Cricetulus griseus: one gene and its partners. The protein of the gene in region 1 interacts with the protein of each later gene in a biochemical or structural test. Links are inferred from orthologs where the notes say so. Each region holds a gene or a part of one and is shown on either strand. Other genes may lie near its edges.

Region 1 (3,500 bases):
AAGCAAAAGACATTTGAGGCTGATGAGATGACTCAGAAGCAGTGGTTTTCAACCTTCCTAATGCTTTGACCTTTTAACATAATTCTTCATGTTGTGATGACCCCCAACCTTAAAATTATTTTTGTTGCTATTTCATAACTGTCATTTTGGCCTGGTGGTGGTGGTGGCTCACACCTTTAATCCTAGCATTTGGGAGGCAGAGGCAAGCAATCTCTGTGAGTTAGAGACCAGCCTGGTCTACAGAGTGAGTTCCAGGACAGGCTCCAAAGCTACAAAGAAACCCTGTCTTGAACCCCCCCAAAAGATAACTGTAATTTTGCTACTGTTATGAACCATAATGTAAAGATGTGATATAAAGACTATCTGATTCCACCCCTGTGAAAGAGTCGTTTGACCCTCAAAGGGGTTGTGATCCAGTGGTTGAGAACCACTGGCTCAGAGGGTAAAGATGTCTTCTCTCAAGACTGCAGACCAGATTGATCTCCAGGACCCAAATGGTCCTGGAGAGAACCAAGTCCTGCAAGTTGTCCTCTGACTCCCACATTGTACTATATAGGACATGTGTATTTGTATACACGCATAAGACACAAAATAAATACATGTTGAATTATTTAAAATGACATTTGAGATTTTAACAATAAAGTAGTTCAGTGAAATGTATTATTTTCTTAGATCAGAGATGAAATTCAGATATACTTTTGAAATTTCTAGAACTTAAGGCCTTCCTTTCCAGTGTGAATCCTGGTTAGTAAAGCCCATTTAACTATTTATTTTTGAGATGGCCTTGTATACATCCCAGGCCGGCCTCAAACTCCCTTCATAGCTGAGGTTGATCTGAACTTCTGGCCTTCCCCACCCCCTTCCCCACATTAACTTCCCAAGTGCTGGGATAGCAGGCTTTGTGTACCACACCCAGCTCTGGATTCTAAAACTTGCTGATTGTAGAAGAGGTCCCTTCAGGCCATAGCAACCACTACTTTTCCCTTGACTCTAGATGGGGGTTATCAGTAAATTTTCATACTGTAGAAAATTGCTTAAAATCCAAAACATTTAAAAAATCAGTGAAGTGGTGAACAAACAAAACATTTAAACAAAAGATCTAGGAACCAAAATATAGCATTATGGATTTAGAAAATATATTATTTGTCTGTCTTGCTATATCTCTGAGTGACTCTGCACTCAAGGCACTCCATTCCTGCCTCAGCCTCCTAAATGTTGGAATTGTGGCTGCATGTCACCAAGTCTGGCTGTGGTCAAACTCCTAAGTTTCCTCCCTTTATTTCTCACTATTTGCTCATTTTCCCTTTCCCAGCACTGAGTCAGAATCAATTTCACCTTGGTAAGTTTCCCATTTTGAAGCACACGCCTCAGTTTCCCCTTCCTTCTGTGCCTGTGCAGGGGGCCGGGAAAACAAGATGCCTATTCTCATTTCCAAGATCTTCAAGGGACTGGCAGCAGACCAGACGGAGGCACTCTTTGTTGGGGATGCCATCCTGTCTGTGAATGGTGAAGATTTGTCCTCTGCCACCCATGATGAAGCCGTACAGGCCCTCAAGAAGACAGGCAAGGAGGTGGTGCTGGAGGGTAAGTACCAGGGAACAGAGCCGGAGGGCTGGGAAGGGCTGTTGTAATTTCTTTCCTGCTTACCCCAGGCACCAAGTGGCTCCAGCCTGGTCTTGAGGGATGGGATGTGGGCATGAAAATAGAATCAGCACCTACCTGGGGTCACCCTGGGGGGAGAAGCACAGAGCTAAGTAGCACTGGTTTGTATTTCTTGTCTCTCATTCACTAGTAGTGTGGTCTTGGACAAATCACTTCATTTCCAAGAACCTTGATTTCATCTTAAAATGGGGACATAACTCCGGGCTCTCTGGGTTGTGACTAGGATTTGTCACCTATTGGGAAGCTAAGGGAAAGGGAAGAATGGGGACTGGGAAAGGACAACTAGATTCTTTGCTAAAGGGCTGATGGAGCATTTAACTTCAGGTTCTTTTATCATCTGTGGCCCTCAAATCCTGAGATATGTAGTGACTCGTCACATCCAGTGAGGACCAGAGAAGTGCTTTGAGGAGAACCTTAATTGGGTGGCTCTCTCCACAACCTGTTCATGTGTGGTCTTGGAGACACTCACTTTTTCTGGGTCTCAGTTTCTCCATTGTTGCATAAGCCCCGTGATGTGGTTATTTGTTATCTGCCTTTTGACACTCTCAGGAGGTTTCTGCTTTGCTCAGCCCTTTCCTCAAGCTCCACTCTGTCAGCTCCAAACGCCTGTGGGGGCCTGAAGAATGTATTTTTGGCTTCTTGCCCAGAATGGGAACTGAGAGATGGTGGGGGCTGATACACAGTGCCATGGCTAGCAAAGCTGCTGAGCTCAGTCCCAGACTCAAATCCTGCCAAGTTTCCCCACAGGGGTCTCCAAGACGCCACAGAAGTAGAGAGGCTTTGGGACCTTGGGTGACCTTTGACACTTTCAAAGACTTATTTTTATCTCATGTGAATGGGTGTTTGCTGGCCTGTATGTTTGTGTATAGTACCTTGCCTGCATGTCTGTGCACTACGTATGTGTATAGTACCCTGGTCCTCCTTTAACCCACTCTTAACCATTGAGCTATTATTGCCCTAGACCCTCACCTTTGCCATGTTTGTGGTTCAAGACCTCAACTCCCATGCAGTTTTATTTTTCTTCATATTTTAGGCTCATCTACAACTGGTATTGATACATTTTATTTCATTGTGCATAGTGTTTTGTTTCTCAGTCTAGAATGTTAATCCTTAAAAGGTTAAAAGTATATCAAGCAGGGCTGGGGAGATGGCTCTGAGGTTAAGAGCACTTGCTGCTCTTCCAGAGGTCTTGAGTTCAATTCCCAGTAACCACATGGTGGATCACAAACATCTATAATGAGATCTGGTGCCCTCTTCTGATCTGCAGGAATATATGCTGCAGGCATAACACTTTATACATAACAAATAAATAAATCTCTTTTTAAAAAAAAAAGTATATCAAGCAGTTACATGAGTAATATAATCAAGGTCAGGTCTACTTTAATCACAGCAGCACTCAGGATGCAGAGGCAGGAAGACCTTTGTGAGTTCAAGGCCAGTCTGGTCTATATAGGGAGGTCCAGGTAAGCTAGAACTACAAAATGAGATCCTGTCTCAAAAAAGAATAAGAATAAGAAATTGGAATGGAGAGATGGTTCAGCAGTTACTCCTCTTCTGGAGGATTGAGTTTGATTCCAAGCACCCACATAATGGTTTACAACCACCTGAAACTCCAGAAACTCTAGTTCCAGGGGATTCAACACCCTCTTCTGACCTCTGGGGGCACCAGGCATGCAAGTGGCACACATAGCTACATACAGTCAAAATACACATTAAAAATGAATAGACCTAATAAAAAGAAAAAAAAAGTCATATTCCCAGGGCCTCTGGTCTTCCAGGCAGCATTCCTCCAGTGAGATATATCCCCCAGCTCCTATCAATCATATTTAACAACACAG
Region 2 (4,116 bases), about 22 Mb from region 1:
CAAAAACACATGTGCAGGAGCACGTGTGTGCGCTCCTCCTCCCGACCCCTTTCCTTCCCTAGTCCCTGCTTCCTAGCAGAGCCATGTCACCTCTGCCCTCTGTTCTCCACGATCAGTTCTTGCTCTGCTATTCTCCACTCACCTGAGAAGTGCGGGCAGCCCTAACACAGGTTCCCCTAAGTGATTTTTACTCCCCTTTCACTTGTGAGGAAGGGAGGCTCCAGATCCAAAGGCCAATAAGGGCCGGGCCTGGAGAGTGGAGGCGGACTACTCTGCTCCCTCCCACTTAACCACCCTAGGTAACCTTTCCCACCCTCCAGCACTTGACCTTCTCTGCCCAGAGGGAGGTCCGAGTTCTTTGAGTAGCAACAGGGAAATTTATTCCTACCTCTGATGCAGAGTAAAATAACAGGGCCAAAGTTGGTATTACTCAGAGTGTGGGCAGGGTCCTGGGGCTATAGCCACACCATCTGGTTCCACGCCAGTCACGCCCAACTTCAGCTCAAGCACAAGCATCCTTCGGGACTGTCTCAATGCCACCATCGCACCAGAGACCCTGGGCTGGCCAGTCGCCCCAGAGAAAAGAGGAGGGGCGTTAGACACATCCAGACGGTCTAGCAGCAGCGTTTGCTCATCCAGCCCTGAACCCACAGATCCCAGGCTCTTGCTGCTCTCTGGCGGCAGGAGCCAGGAGCCAGAGCCCCGGGGATCGCACCTTGTATGCTCCGCTAGGGCAAGGGCAAGCAGAGAGTGACCAGTGACCGCGAGTCTAGAGAGAGGAAGGGAGGCAGCGAGACGCAACTGGGGCAGAGAGGACTGGGGTCGCAGACAGCCAAGGAAAGGAGGACAAGGGGGCAGCTAGGGTAGAAGGCAGTCGTGGGCACCGGCAGGGACCCCCTCAGCCGCTGGTCGCGCAGAGCGGCTTCTCCAGCCCGCAGCCCTCGCTCGCGTCGGCCGCCCCCTCCTCCCTGCCGGCCGCCCCTCCTCCGTCCCGCCCCCGCTCAGAGTCCCAAGCGCTGCAGAGGCCGCCGCCAGCACTGCCGCTCCCGGAGCCGCCGCTCGCCTGGACACGCTTAGAGAAGGGCACAGGGCGACCGCCCCGGCCCTTCCCTCCCTGCGACTCCGCGGCCACCGCTAGATCCGTTGCCTCGCGCCACCGTTCCCGCTGGGACCTTCACGGGCCGGTGGCCTCCGCTCCTCTCCCCTTGCACTACAGCTCCCCTGCGGCCCCCTCCGTGGCGGGAACTTGGGCAGGACCGGCAGGACCGACGGGACCGGCGCGCGGGTCTGGCTCCGGCGCTGCGGCGATGCCCGCGGGCCCCCCCTCCCGCCACTTGCTCGCCCTGTGCCGCCGCCACTCGCTCGCCCTGTGCCGGGGCTCGGGCCCCGACGGCTGCGCCGTGAGATGACTTTCCGCGACCTCCTGAGCGTCACTTTTGAAGGACCCCGCTCCAACAGTAGCACTGGGGGCTCCGGCGCAGGCGGTGGAGCTGGCACGGCTGGACCTGAGGGCCCGGCGGTGAGCGGCGTGCCAGGGACCACTGGCGGCGGAGCTGTGGTGGGAACCGGCAGCGGCGAGGACAACCAGAGCTCCACGGGAGAACCGGGGGCTGCGGCCGGAGGCGAGGTGAATGGCTCGGCGGCCGTCGGGGGGCTGGTGGTGAGTGCACAGGGCGTGGGAGTGGGAGTCTTCCTAGCGGCCTTCATCCTCACCGCCGTAGCGGGCAACTTGCTCGTCATCCTCTCGGTGGCCTGCAACCGCCACCTGCAAACGGTCACCAATTATTTCATCGTGAACCTAGCGGTGGCTGACCTGCTGTTGAGTGCGGCTGTGCTGCCCTTCTCGGCCACTATGGAGGTTCTAGGCTTTTGGGCCTTTGGCCGGACCTTCTGCGACGTATGGGCCGCTGTGGACGTCCTGTGCTGCACTGCCTCCATCCTTAGCCTCTGCACCATCTCTGTGGACCGGTACGTGGGTGTGCGCCACTCACTGAAGTACCCAGCCATTATGACAGAGCGCAAGGCAGCTGCCATCCTGGCTCTGCTCTGGGCGGTGGCCCTGGTGGTGTCCGTGGGACCGCTACTGGGCTGGAAGGAGCCAGTGCCCCCGGATGAGCGTTTCTGTGGCATCACTGAGGAAGTGGGCTATGCTGTCTTCTCTTCTGTGTGCTCCTTCTACCTGCCCATGACAGTGATCGTGGTCATGTACTGCCGCGTGTATGTGGTCGCACGCAGCACCACGCGCAGCCTCGAGGCAGGCATCAAGCGGGAGCCTGGTAAGGCCTCCGAAGTGGTGCTGAGGATCCACTGTCGCGGTGCAGCCACTAGCGCCAAAGGAACCCATGGGGCACAGAGTAGCAAGGGCCACACCTTGCGCAGCTCACTCTCAGTAAGGTTGCTCAAGTTTTCCCGCGAGAAGAAGGCTGCCAAGACGCTGGCCATCGTCGTGGGTGTCTTCGTCCTTTGCTGGTTCCCCTTCTTCTTCGTCCTGCCACTGGGTGAGTGATCCCCTCACATTAGACCCTTCTGACAAGTCCCTTCCTGGAAGGCTTAGATGACCCACAGCCTGACTGTGAATGGTTATGAACTTCCTAGTCGCTTACTGTTGAAGAGGGAGAGCAAGGGACTCTTGGTACTTCTGGGTTTCCTGTTACTGGTTTATCATTCTTTTTCTTACCTTTTGTAGCCATTACAAACCTTGGGCTTGCGTTAGTTCCTTGGAAACCTGGGCTAACATCTCCCTGTAATATGTGGCCAGCAGTGGATGTGCCCCATAGCGAATATACCCATCTCTGGAAATAGATACACAGTGGGCAAGCCCACGTGCACTCATTCATCAGCAGACCCAGGCTAGTCACCTTGTATCTCAGTAGACATCAGAGGCTCTGATTTCTCCAATAGGCGTTCATTCAGTGGCCCCACTGGTATCTGTGAGAACCCTGTGGGCTTTCCCTTCTGAAATCTCCTCTTGAAGGGATTAAAGGAAGAAACCTGTTCGGGTGGGAAGGACAGGATGAGAAAACTGTCAAGGGGAGAGTTGCTATTGTTTATAGTCATTTATGGAGTGAACTAGTTCCCTTACAAGAGCCCTGCAATCCTGGGGGAAACACGACTGTTCTCAGGGGATTCCTCCCACCCCTTGAGCCTGGAAGCCCTGGAGCAGGGCCCAAGGGCCTAGACCAGCACAGAAGAGAAAGGGGCAGCATTTCTAAGGCTCTTTTCTCTGGTCACTTTGCTCATAGCTGCAACCTCTATGTGTTCAAGCAGGACCGACCTCTCCAGCTGTTCCCCTGGCTGCTTGCATTTGTGAGACTCACTCAGGGAAGAAATAATGGCCCTCCCTCCTGAGCCCCTGCAAGTCTCCCCCACACAGCAGCAGCAGCCATGGGGACTTTTATATACCATAGTTCAGTTGTGTCACTCCCCTACAAGTCCCTTGGTGTTTTTATACTACTTGGGAACAAAACTGTCTTCCACAGCCTACAGAGGGTAGCCTTCAGATTTATTATTGTCCAAACCAAAACAGGTCACTATTAGTATTTACAGTAGGACCATAGGCACGAACTGCAGGAGTTCCCAACAGATGCCATTCCCATCTGAAAGGGGCTATTCAGGGAAGGACTTCCTCCCTCTGCCCTGGCCCTGACCCTGTGTGAGTTACTTCCTTGTGATACCTATCTCTGGTCTCACTTGATCTTTTCTCTGTCTGGATGCCCACCCAAACCTCTTAGCTAACTCCCAACCTGTGGGTTTCTGTTTAAATACCCCCTTTGCCTTGGTGTTTCACTCTCTCACCGGCTCTCTAGCTTTTCTTTTCAACTGTGTCTCCACTGCATCCATAGTACCCAGAATGGTGCCTGGCATATGAGGAGCAATATTGTTCTTCATTGAGGACACAGGCTCTGGTGTCAGGCAGCTTGAGTTCAAATCCCAACTCTGCTTCTCACTAGCTATGTAGCCTCAGGCCTCTGTTTCTTCATCTTTAAGGGAGGATGGTGATGATGGTAACACTTGTGACCTTGACAAGAATTGTGAGCATCAATGAGTTGCTGTGCATGCTGTGATTCAGGCAAATGTGAATGTCTTACACTGATGCCCCACCCCAGCAGATGAGAG
Region 3 (4,290 bases), on another chromosome or scaffold:
CCCTCACATCTCCAGGTACCACCTGCATCCTCTTGGGTCATACCCATCAACCAGCATCCTACCTCCAAACCACTGTGTATAAATATCCCATCCCAAGATCTCCAAGCTAATTAGGAGCTCGGCACATTAGTACACGTACACACATGCACACACAGCATTCACTAGGCAAACCCAATGCATTTTTCTCACAGATACCAAAAATGATCTTTGCTGTCTAGTCCTCAATCTTAAATGAAAATATGTCTTGTTGTCACCCTGTTTGACATTTTTCTCTTTTCAACCTGCTTGGGACACAGCTGTGGAGATTAACAGAGGGCACTCCCTCCTAGTTATGGTACAAGGGTCCTTCCTGTCTATGGAGTTGCTGTGGTCACTAGCTCAATAACTTTTGGGACTATTGCAAGCTTTCCATCATGGTCAGTGTACTGGCTAGTTTTATGTCAACATGACACAGGCTAGAGTCATCAGAGAGGAGGGAGCCTCAAGTGAAAAAATGCCACCATAATATCTGGCTATAGGAAGGCCTGTAGGGAATTTTCTTGATTAGTGATTGATGGGGAGAGCCCAGCCCTCTATGGGTGGTACCATCCCTGGGCTGATGGTCCTGGGTGCTGTAAGAAAGCAGGCTAAGTCATGAAGAACAAGCCAGTAAGCAGCATTCCTCCATGGTCTCTGTGTCAGTTCCTGGCTCCAGGTTCCTGCCCTGCTCGAGTTCCTGTCCTGACGTCCTTTGACGATGAACTGTAATGGGGATGCATAAGCTGAATAAACCTTTCCATTCCCAAATTCTTTGGTCATGGTGTTTCATCACAGTAATAGTAACCATAACTAGGACAGTTGGGAAAGCTGGCTGGGAAAACAAAGGTGGTGGCAGAGTTCCATTGTCCTCTTCAATAGTCAACCCCCAGTAACCTAGCGCTCTGCCACTAGATCCAACCTTGGAAAGGTTCCACCAACTCCCAGCAGTGCCACCAGCTGCAGCCAAGCACTGACTATGTGGGTACCTGTCACGCTAATCACAAGGCCATTCCCAAGTCCTCTGGAAGAAAAAGCAAGCATTTTATTCTAGCTCATTTTTACCTGGTGACTCCATCTGAGAAGTCAAGAGACAGCAGAAAAGCTAAATGTGGTCCTGTTTTTTTTCTTCTCAGCAGAACTCCAAAGGCATTGTGCCTGTGGTTTCCACACAGTCTTTAAGTCACATGAGGAAACATATTCCAATGTGATCTATGGATCTTGCTTACGAAGTCAACAGCAACATACAAAGAAATAGCGCTGGCTATCTAGGGAGCACGCCTTCAGAGCAGACAAATTAAGTAAGATCATGACTCCATTTATAAAAGAATCTATTTTTAAAATTTGTATGTGTTTCGAGGTCATGTATATCTGTGCATCACATGCATGTAGTACCCCAGAAGGCCAGAAAGAGGGCACAAGATCCACTGGGACTGGCTTTACAGATGACTGTGAACTGCCTATGTGGGTGCTAGGAATTGAACCCATGTCTTCTGGAAGAGCGGCCAGTACGATTAACCATTGAGCCATCTCTCAAGGCCGCAGAATAGACTTTGCTTTTTTACTGACTGCAGTTTTCCCTACTTCCTGTCCTCCTATCCCCTCCCCTAATTTCTCCTCCACCCCACCTCAATCCATTCCTTCTCTATTTCTGTTCAGAAAGGGGCAGGCCTCCCATGGGTGTCAGCAAAGCATGGCGGATCACGTTGCAGTAAGACTAAGCACTGCCCTTGTATCAAGTTTGGGCAAGGCTACCCAGTAGGAGAAACAGGTTCCAAGAGCCAATCAAAGTATTAGGGAAGCCCCTGCTCCCACTCTTAGGCATCCCACAAGTAGACCAAGCTACACTACTGTCACATATAAGTAGACAGCCTAGGTCAGTCCCATGTAGGCTCCCTGGTTGTTGGTTCAGAGTCTGTGAGATCCTATGTGTTCAGGTTAGTTGTTTCTGTGGGTTTTCTTGGGATGTCCTTGACCCCTCTGGCTTCTACAATCCTTTCTCCCTCTCTTCAACAGGAATCCCAAGCTTAGCCTAATGCTTGGCAGCAAGCGTTCTTATTTGTTGAGCCATCATCTCTCCAGCCCTTTTAACACCCTCTTGAGAGTTACCACATATATGCCAGGGTAAGGTTACACAAAGGCATTTCAACTAGACAGCTAAGGAGGGGACATGGACCAGCACACACAGTCAAACAGAATTACAGATTGTTTTCCAGGTTGTTCTGTGGAGAAGTCACACCTGCGTGTGACAGGGTAACACTTAAATCATCATCACATCTAGAGCCTGCGAGCAGAAATGCCAAGATTGGATGGAAGGATGATAAACATGCTCTTGGAGGGATTCTTACTGTTCCCAGAAAAGCAGCACATCAAGGAATCGGGAATTATTTCAGTTACAACATATGCCCATCAAACTGAGAAAGTTGAAGCAAATGTAGCAGAAGTCATCTTGAAGGTTTATTTTCTGGCTGAGGAAATGAAATTCTCATAAATATTTGAAATTGAGGCTAACGCATGGAGGCACTTCTGTATGCATCAGATTGGCATCACGGGCTGAGTGACATATGAAAGCTCTAAGAAAGGACAGTGGGGTGTCTCTGGGAGATGATGAGTGAGGTGAGCATGGAGAAGGATAACAAAGAGCATTGAATGTCCCACAGCGAACAATGCTGCAGGGAACTGTGAGACAGGCTCCAGGGGAAAAAGGCAGAGGGCCTTTTACCTGAGGTGAATTTTGTTTCCTGGGTTGTTCTTGGATGTGATTTCATGTGTCCTGCAACAAACATATACACTCAATTTAGAACTTACGTTTGTTCTTGTTTGGATATCAGAATATAGCGATAGAATCCAATCTGTTGGAAGGATGTGCTAGGTGCTGTCCTCAGTGTACCCTGGCTCTGGACATGGCCTTCTATCTTGTTTCCATGCTTTTCTAGATCTAACCTTTAGTATGTGCCAGACAATTGTGTTTAAACTTCCTGAAAAAGTTCTGGGAAAGGGCTGCTCTCTTAATATTTAGTATGTCCTTACAGGAATAAATAAATGACATGTTTTTCTGAACTCAAGTAACCTTCCTTGGATCGTAGCCTTCTTTGTTGCATTCACATGTACAAGTACACTGGAACTGAAGGGAGGTTGTTTACTGCATCAGACTGTGGCCCACCCCACTCTTTCAGGTCCTCAGACCGGAGGTCTCTCAGACAGATCTGCACAGGTCTGCAAAAGTTGACAGAGGGTGTGGACCAAAATATGGGAAGTTCAAAGATGTGGGGAAAAGAAATCTAAGTTGGTACAAAACAAGTTTGCCTTGCCTGGCTTGCTCCATTCCATCCCTCCAGCTCTTGTCCTCTTACTCTGCCTAACCACACGCCGCTTCTAAAGCTCCCAATCCTGTCTGGATGGTGAGATAGTTTTCCTTATTCTCATTTCAATCGCCATAAACCTAGCACAAATCCCGCGTTCTTCCTTCTTCCCACGGACTGTTTGGACAGTTGCAGAGGGAGGGGGTGGTAAGAAGGATTGTAGAAGCCTCCATTCATGCAGCCAAAGGCTGTGCTTTCTTTCTTAATATGAGTCATTGATATGTTGTTTTTGCTCAACTGGATTAAGTCATTTTCCATGTACAGTCATCACTTGGGAGGGAGGTGGGAGAGGCTGGGGAGGTTGTTTCAAATGCTTCCCGGAACCAAAGGCTTTTGTTTTGATGAGATGTTTGTTCTCAGTGCTAAGGACTAAACATAGGGCTCGGCGCATGCTCGGCAAGTCCTCTGTCACCAAACCACATCCTCCCAGCCCTGCAATTCTGAATAATGGAAACATCTAATTCTACCATCCTACTTGGTTTTATGTATTTCATTCTTTTTAAAAAATCTCAATTTTATAGGGAAAAAAAAAAACATGCCAGGTTTGACCTTAAGAAGTGAAGCTTCGGTACAGGCATACTGGCATCCTGTTTTTTGTTTTTTTAAAAAAGAGAAAGAGAGAAAGAAAGAAAGAAAGAAAGAAAGAAAGAAAGAAAGAAAGAAAGGAAGGAAGGAAGGAAGGAAGGAAGAAAGAAAGTGACTGTATCTAGCATTCCAGTAGCACAGAGATATTAAATTTTATTTCTAAGATAAAGTAATATGAGTTTTTTACGTTTTACGATGAAGAGTGTTTCACCTGAATGTATTTGCTTGCCCCATATGTGTGCAGTACATGGGTGGGGGAGCAGAAGATGATGGCCAATCCACAGGAACTGGAGTTCCAGGTGGTTGTTCACTATCAGCCTCCATGTGG
Region 4 (3,378 bases), on another chromosome or scaffold:
CTCCCACCAGCACCCCAAACTGGAGCTGACTACTTAGGTTCCTAGATGTGGAACCGGAAGCCAGGTGGTAGACTTCATTCCCCCTTTACCCTCCCCACCTAGTTTCCACTCCGGTCCTTGCAGAAAATGTCAAAACCCATCTGGAAAACAAAACAAAACAAAAAACAAAAGCTAAAGGTGTATCACGAGAACACACAAAAGGCCGAACCCCAGAGAGAAAGGAACCCAAGACAAATCAGAAAGCCACACTCTCCCAACTCCTCCCAAACTTCCCTTTTTGCGCTGCGGACGGTCCGGGGCTTTGCTGTACGTCTGGGATGATTCAGATTCATCTGTGAGTTCACCTGCTTTCGGTCTTGAGTAAACAGAGGTCTCCTCCCTCCTCTGCGGAGCGGCTCAGGGGCGCCCGGCAAGCTCTCTTCCTCTAGGGACGCGGAGCCTGTGTCCAGGCCGGGACCGTGGGGCCGGCGTCCGTGCGCCCGCCGGGAGAGCCTGGCTCTCTACACCTTGGATTCCGAGGAGAAGTCCCGGCGCCCCGGCTCGTCCAGGCTCGAATCGCTGTCCACAGTCGTCACCCCGCCGTTGCAGCCAGCCCAGGGCTCCAGCAGGCGCGCGGGTGCCGTGATCCCCGCATCGTCTTCGTCGTCGTCCGAGGGAGCTCCAGGGGACGGCGGCGGCCCAGCTCCCGCCAGGCAGCCCGAGGCGCGCGGCCGGTCCCCGTGGGATGCGCGGCGTCTGCGGACGGCCCGGCGCGCGCAGCAGAGCAGGCGCTGGAAGGCCTTGCGGAAGTCGGGGCTGCGGCAGTAGATGATGGGGTTGAAGGCCGAGTTGGCGTAGCCCAGCCAGTTAAAGAAGACGAAGAGGCGATCGGGCACCAGGTCGCGGTGGAAGGCCTTCACCACGTTGGCCAGGAAGAAGGGCAGCCAGCAGAGCGTGAACACACCCATGATGATGCCCAGCGTCTTGAGCGCCTTCTGCTCGCGCAGGGCCACGAGGCGCGACGGCCGCCGCTTGCTGGAGCGCCCGTTGGCCAGCGAGTCTGCGGGGCGCGGCGGCCCTGGCGACGGCGAGGGCGCGGGTGAGGGCGGCCGAGCGGGGCCGCCGAGGAAGCGGCGCTCGCAACTGTCGATCTTCTTCACCTGCTTCTGGGCCTCGCGGAACACCCGCAGGTACACGAAGGCCATGATGCACAGGGGCACGTAGAAGGAGACGACGGACGAGGCGATGGCGTAGGCCCGGTTGGTGACGAAATCGCAGCACTTGGGGTCGTTGTAGCAGCGGCGTGCCTCGTCGCTCTCGGCCCGCCACCAGTGCATGAGGATGGGCAGGAAGGACACCAGAGCCGAGATGGCCCACACCGTGCACACGAGGGCCCGCGCTCGCGCGCGCGTCAGCAGGCTCTGGTAGCGGAAGGGCGACGTGATGGCGAGGTAGCGGTCCAGGGCGATGACACACAGGGTCTCGATGCTGGCCGTCACACACAGCACGTCCACCGAAGTCCAGAGCTCGCAGAAGAAGGAGCCGTACTCCCAGCGGCCCCACACCACGATGGTGGCCCCGAAAGGCACCACCAGCAGCCCCATGACCAGGTCGGCGCTGGCCAGGGACATGATGAAGAGGTTGGTGAGCGTCTGCAGCCGCGGGGTCTTGGCGATGGCCACGATCACCAGCACGTTGCCCGCCACGATGAGCAGCACGATGAGCGCCAGCAGGAGGCCCATGCCCGCAGTCCACGGCTGCGACAGCGGCGCTGAGCCCTCGCTGGTGGGAGGCAGCAGCGAGGCGGGCGGCGACGCGAGCACCAGCAGGCGCGCCGCGGTGGCCGCGCCGTCGGGCAGCGGCGCGGCCGACGACAGGTTGCAGGGTTCGGAGGCGCCCAGGGCGAGCGCCCCCGCGCCCATGCCGAGCTGCGGAGGCCGGGGGCGGGGGGTGTGGCGGGGCTGGGCCGCGGCTGGGGAACACCCCAGGAGCCGGGGCTGCGGGGCCCGCGCGGGAGGTCGCGGCCAGGTCAGGGCAGCCGCGGCTCGGGGCCGGAGGCATGGACTCCGAGCGCCTTCTCCGCCGGAGCCGAGCGCTGTCGCCGCCGCCGCCGCCGCCGCTGCTGCTGGAGCCGCTGCCGCTGCTGGAAGAGCCGCCGGGACCTCAGCATGTTTCTGAGCGCGCGGGGCCGACAGCTCCGGCCCCACACCCCACCCCGCTGCCACCCCCCTAGCCAGCCCCGGGGCCGCGCGTCAAGCTCCCGCAGCCAATCGCCGCCAAGGCACGCCCCCGACAACGGTGCCCCCACCCCCCAACACCCGGCACCCCCTCCTACCCGCGATTGAGCCGCTCCAAAGATTCCGGGCGGACTGCGGAGCCAGCATCTCCCCGGCACCCACCGGCTGCAGCGAGCGCGCCCTTTCCGGCTCCGGCAGGCTTCTACCGGAGTCGGGTCTGCTGCGTCCCCGCCCCCTCCAGGGGGTCCCCGCTCGCCCCAGCACCAGCTCTCTTTTTCCCTCGGCGCGGCGCGGCTCCCGCCCTAGCTCTCCTCCTTCCCACCGGCGCCCCGCAGCTCCCGCGCCGCTCTGCCTCCTCTGCCGAGTTCCCTGCAGCGAGGAGGGAATCTTGTTGGCGTTCTCAAGACGCCCAGTGCCTTGAACAGCCTGTCTGCTGGGGTTGGAGGAGTTTAGCTGTGAGACTGGTTCTGCCATCAGGCAGCCTGGCCCTTCCCTGCTCGAGAGGGGACCCGGCCAGCCTGACAGCTTGGGGGGAATGGGAAGTGGGTGTTCGTGGTTAGAGGAAAGTTTCCAGCCAGGCCGGTTGCTGGAGCAGAGCGCGCATCTGTCAGAAAGGCTCTCTGGCTGTTCTCGCTCAGAGCTGTGCTGTCACTCAAGCCCAGTCAATGGAGAAAGGAAGTGAAGGTTTCTGGGTGTTAACAGTCAACGCCAGGGACCAGTTGGACACACACACACACACACACACACACACACACACACACACACACACACACACGCACGCACGCGCGCGCACACGCGCACACGCGCACACGCGCACACGCGCACACGCGCACACGCGCACACGCGCACACGCGCACACGCACACACGCACACATACACACACACACCTCCCAACCCCAGCCAAGGAGAATGACGCCACGGTGTGTGCCGAGTATGAAGGAGAAGTTTGCAACATGCAGTCTAGAGTAGATGACACCACCGCCGCCACCCCGCGTAGAAAGGACACACCGAATGACGCTTCAGAGTTTTTGGCTCTGATTTTAACACCTTGACACCTGCATTTGTGCTCTGTCGCGCCCATTGGGTTTTATAATCCGAGCTGAGTCAACACAAGGAGCTATTCCTTTTGGTTGACGTCATGAACTAGGATTGCAGATTTCTT
Region 5 (3,988 bases), on another chromosome or scaffold:
AATCATGCCCTGCCTGCACTCACTCTCTAGGCTGTCCTTCATTCATCACACCAGAGAAAGAGCTTCCTTCTTGTTGTAAAGGACTCTCTGGGGGCTGCTGCTGCACTGACTGTGAGGCCCTGCAAACATCATCACCACTCTTTCCCTGCTTACTTTGGTTGGTGATAATCTGGCATTTGGAACCACTGCAGGATCTTAGAGGCTGGCTATAAAAAGAGCTACTTCTCTTTGACATAAGGAGCAACATGACAAGGGATGTGGACTAAGGCTAAAATGGCGTTCCTTGCTTCCCTCCAGTATCATGGGTAAGGAATGAATGAGTGGTGGGCATTCATGGGAGGGCAGGGATGAAGAGTTCAAACCAGCATTTGGTGATCACTTCAGAAAGTGGCTACAGCTTTCCAATTATGGACTGTGACTGTGCAATGCTGCCTGTCACAGTGGCTTGTCACAGGAGTGATGCGCTGTTTCTTTAGCTTTTAGAAGACAGATACATAGAAAACACCTTCCAGTCTTTCACTGTACTGACAGACAAATTGACTTTGGGGCCTTAGAAAGTGGAAAAGATAATGTGTATATATTTGGTACAAGTTAACAGTGAGGGTTTGTCTAATGTTCCATGACTGACTTTGTTTGGCATGTGCTTACTGTGAGTATACATTTTATATTTTGATCATAGGAATCCAGGAAACTTCAGCTTGCTTTTTTCATAAAAGCATAAAACATTAATTGATTCTCATGTGTGTTTCTTTATATGACAATGTGAAATCTACATGCCTAAATATCTGGCATATCTGCTATGCCTTTTGTGCTCAGAAATACAAAGAAGTTTTGATCAAAGCTTCCCAGAGCAAAGTTACTTAATTTTACTAACCCATTGGTTTCCTATCCATATAATGTATAAGTATACTTCCCTCATGTGGATTCTGTGGAAAATGAGTGTTCTATTGCATACAAAATGACTAGCATGCTATCTGATGTAAAGATGTTCTTTACAGTTGGTATATGGTCGGTTATGCCCACAGCTCACAATTTAGAGGAACAAGTCATGAATCCTTGTACTGTGACCTAAAAGGTATGTTTAAGAGTCAGAGGTGATGATATATTCTCTTTGTTTCCAGCCACAGGACCAAGTCTTCGGGCTGGCCGCCTCCCTCAGGAACCTGGGCCTTGAACCAGGTGCCACCCTATGGATGGGAGATGATGACAAACCGAGATGGCCGTGACTACTTCATCAAGTAGGTTAAAAAGACACCAAAGAATTTGTCCCACGCTCTTCTAGTTTTGTTTGATTTTTAAAAAGAGTTTATTTATTCTGTGACAATTGTATAATGTATAAAATTGTTTTTGATCATATTGACCCTCTACTTACCTTTCTTACGCCCCCTCCCTCTGGAAACCTCTCCCTGAGATGACCCCTTCTTACTTTTGTGTCTCTTTATTTTTCTAATAACTCATTGTGTTTAATTAGGGTAGCTTGCATATACATGTATGCTATATTATTGGCTAGATAAGTGGATCACAGGTAATTACTTCCATAGCATGGCAATTTTTGCTCATAGCAGAAGTGTGCACTATGAAATATTGGTCAGTTGCATCCATTGCCTAAAACTAAGGAATCTTGTTATTTCAAACATTTTCATGGAGTGGTCAAGAATGTTACTGAGTTATCAACTAAAATGATTATGTGTTTTCATAATACCTCTTACTACAAATTATTGTTTATATATTGGTTTAGATTATAGATTTTGATGGCAGTCTTATTTTGTTTGTGTTACGTGAATGTACATCCCAGAATTCCTTACCTAAGCCATTTTGGATGTATTATTTAGTAGCATCCATGGTGTTATATACTTATTTAATACTGTCAAATTCCATGACTTTTGTATCACCTTTGTCTTTGTTTGCTTCCTTTTGCTGCACTAAACCACTCTGACAAAAAATCAAGAGTGTATTTAGCTTGCACTTTTAGGTCACAGTATATCACTGAGGCAAGTCAGGGAAAGAACTCAAGCAGGAACCTGGAAATAGGGACTGATGCAGCACCATGGAGGAAAGATGCTTGCTGGATTGTTCCTGGCTGGCTTAGCTTATTTTCTTAAACAACCCAGGATCATCTTCAAGGCATGATACTACCCATAGTGATCTGAGTACTCCCACATCACCATCAGTCAAGAAAATGCCTAGTTAGACTTGACTACAGGCCTTCTCAATTGATACTCTATTCCCTCACATGACTACAATTTGTGTCAAGTTGACAATAGCAAACACCACTACCCTTGAAAAATTTCCTAAGCAGGGCATTGCCACTCTTAGATGTTGTCTGCCTAAAAACAAAGTAAGCCAGTATCACAAGATATAGAAGGTTCAGGAGGAGAGTGAACTGCTTAAGTAATAGCTTCCAAGTACCTTTGCATTCCCACTTTAATTGTATTCATACTACTAAGCAAATCAAAGCTAGAAGTTGGATGTAGCCACTGGTAAATTCATATTATACAGTAATAAGTATTTGTTTCTCCTACTTTTACCTCCCAATAGCATCTGGTCTTTTTTTCTGTCTCTGTTGCTTATTCTAGGAACTCCCATATACATAGAATCATATAATATTTGTTCTCTTGTATTGGGCTGTCTTAATTTTACATAAGGTTTTTAAAAACCTATCCATATTATAAGACATGTTAGAATTAATTCCTTTTAATGCTGGATAATATTCCATTGAATGTATATACGACACTTACTTAATGGTAGTGTTTGTTCTACATGTACAAGTCTCTAGGTTGAAAACACGTATGCACGCGCGCACATACACACACACACACACACACACACACACACACACACACACACACTTTCTTCCTGTTTTCAATTGATTGGGGTTTACATCTAAAGTTTGAAGGGCAGAACATATGAAATTGATGGGTCAAAGTTATATTCTATGCTTCACTCGTTAAGACACCACCAAGAGTGAGAAAAGCATTTAAACTGTGTGTGTGTGTGTGTGTGTGTGTGTGTGTGTGTGTGTGTGTGTGTGTGTGTGTGAATGTGTGTATGTGTTTTCAACAATGAAATTTCAGACTGTCTTTGTTAATTAAGACTGAAATATTCTTAATTACAAGAAATTAGTGAAATAGATTTGGAATCAGGAAGCACAGTTGGCCAGAGTCCAATTATAACTGAGTAGAGATTTGAGAGGAAGGGGAAAATTATTCATTGTTTCGGCCAAGCTGCCTATGCCTTGATTAGCAAATATAAGATCATATGGAGAGTAGAGGTCATTTTTATAAAGGTATCTGCCTACATTGTTTGGGTCTTCTGTACTCCCAACTCAACCCCACACGCAAGTGAGAATTGCTCGGAAGCCAACAGGGTGAAAACTCACTGGATTGTTATGGCTGCTTTTCTAGTCTTTATAACCCAGATCCCTCCTCTTTCCCATAATTGCTGCAGACAGAAGATCTCCCCTCTGGAGTGCACTGCTTACACAGGAACTGCCCCTTGTTTGGGAAGACCTGCTTTGCCCTTAAACATAACCCATGGCAGGGAATATAGAAGTGTCTTCTGCCTTTTGAATGCTGTGCTCACAGATTAAGAAACATGAGTATGGCTTTTGGAACCCAGTCTCAAAACACTCAAAAGACAGGTAGAAAGGCCTCACACCTGTCTCACACCCTGGATTCTAAACTGTTAGCTTTGTGCAGTTTGTCCAAGTCCTTTCTTCTGTTAAGACAATGTATGATATTATAATATGCTACCTGTTTTCCAACATAGCTACAGATGCACTCAGTTGGTTCACTTAAAATAATCCAGATATTTGTAGTAAGAACTGAAAAAAGAGGCAAAGAAATGTATTTTTAAAGGCATTAATTGGGACTTTATTACAGGTTATATTTCAGACTTTTCTGATTAGTGTCTAGTTTTTTCCCTCTGTTTGGCTTTTCTGGAGTTTCACATATATCCCAGACAGTCTTTCAAAAGGTAGTAATTCAAA

The links. The genes of interacting proteins can lie anywhere in the genome.
Region 2: the proteins of Snta1 (region 1) and Adra1d interact in a test that uses a peptide from one of them, tested with the Homo sapiens proteins (2 studies listed by BioGRID and IntAct). The link is inferred for Cricetulus griseus from reciprocal best matches to the Homo sapiens genes SNTA1 and ADRA1D.
Region 3: the proteins of Snta1 (region 1) and Gda interact in a test that uses a peptide from one of them, tested with the Homo sapiens proteins (2 studies listed by BioGRID and IntAct). The link is inferred for Cricetulus griseus from reciprocal best matches to the Homo sapiens genes SNTA1 and GDA.
Region 4: the proteins of Snta1 (region 1) and beta-1 adrenergic receptor interact in a test that uses a peptide from one of them, tested with the Homo sapiens proteins (2 studies listed by BioGRID and IntAct). The link is inferred for Cricetulus griseus from reciprocal best matches to the Homo sapiens genes SNTA1 and ADRB1.
Region 5: the proteins of Snta1 (region 1) and Frmpd4 interact in a test that uses a peptide from one of them, tested with the Homo sapiens proteins (2 studies listed by IntAct, with this or other methods). The link is inferred for Cricetulus griseus from reciprocal best matches to the Homo sapiens genes SNTA1 and FRMPD4.

Annotation. Positions count from the first base shown.
Region 1 is NC_048599.1:25,233,058-25,236,557, forward strand, and holds part of Snta1 (alpha-1-syntrophin), read left to right. Parts: intron 1-1,398; coding exon 1,399-1,584; intron 1,585-3,500. UniProt on the Homo sapiens protein: Adapter protein that binds to and probably organizes the subcellular localization of a variety of membrane proteins. May link various receptors to the actin cytoskeleton and the extracellular matrix via the dystrophin glycoprotein complex.
Region 2 is NC_048599.1:47,030,694-47,034,809, forward strand, and holds the start of Adra1d (alpha-1D adrenergic receptor), read left to right. Parts: upstream 1-1,316; 5' UTR 1,317-1,405; coding exon 1,406-2,498; intron 2,499-4,116. UniProt on the Homo sapiens protein: This alpha-adrenergic receptor mediates its effect through the influx of extracellular calcium.
Region 3 is NC_048596.1:39,790,672-39,794,961, reverse strand, and holds the start of Gda (guanine deaminase), read right to left. Parts: upstream 2,801-4,290; 5' UTR 2,738-2,800; intron 1-2,737. UniProt on the Homo sapiens protein: Catalyzes the hydrolytic deamination of guanine, producing xanthine and ammonia.
Region 4 is NC_048596.1:4,713,453-4,716,830, forward strand, and holds beta-1 adrenergic receptor, read right to left. Parts: upstream 1,902-3,378; coding exon 501-1,901; downstream 1-500. UniProt on the Homo sapiens protein: Beta-adrenergic receptors mediate the catecholamine-induced activation of adenylate cyclase through the action of G proteins. This receptor binds epinephrine and norepinephrine with approximately equal affinity.
Region 5 is NC_048604.1:102,458,291-102,462,278, reverse strand, and holds the start of Frmpd4 (FERM and PDZ domain-containing protein 4), read left to right. Parts: upstream 1-1,188; 5' UTR 1,189-1,200; coding exon 1,201-1,238; intron 1,239-3,988. UniProt on the Homo sapiens protein: Positive regulator of dendritic spine morphogenesis and density. Required for the maintenance of excitatory synaptic transmission. Binds phosphatidylinositol 4,5-bisphosphate.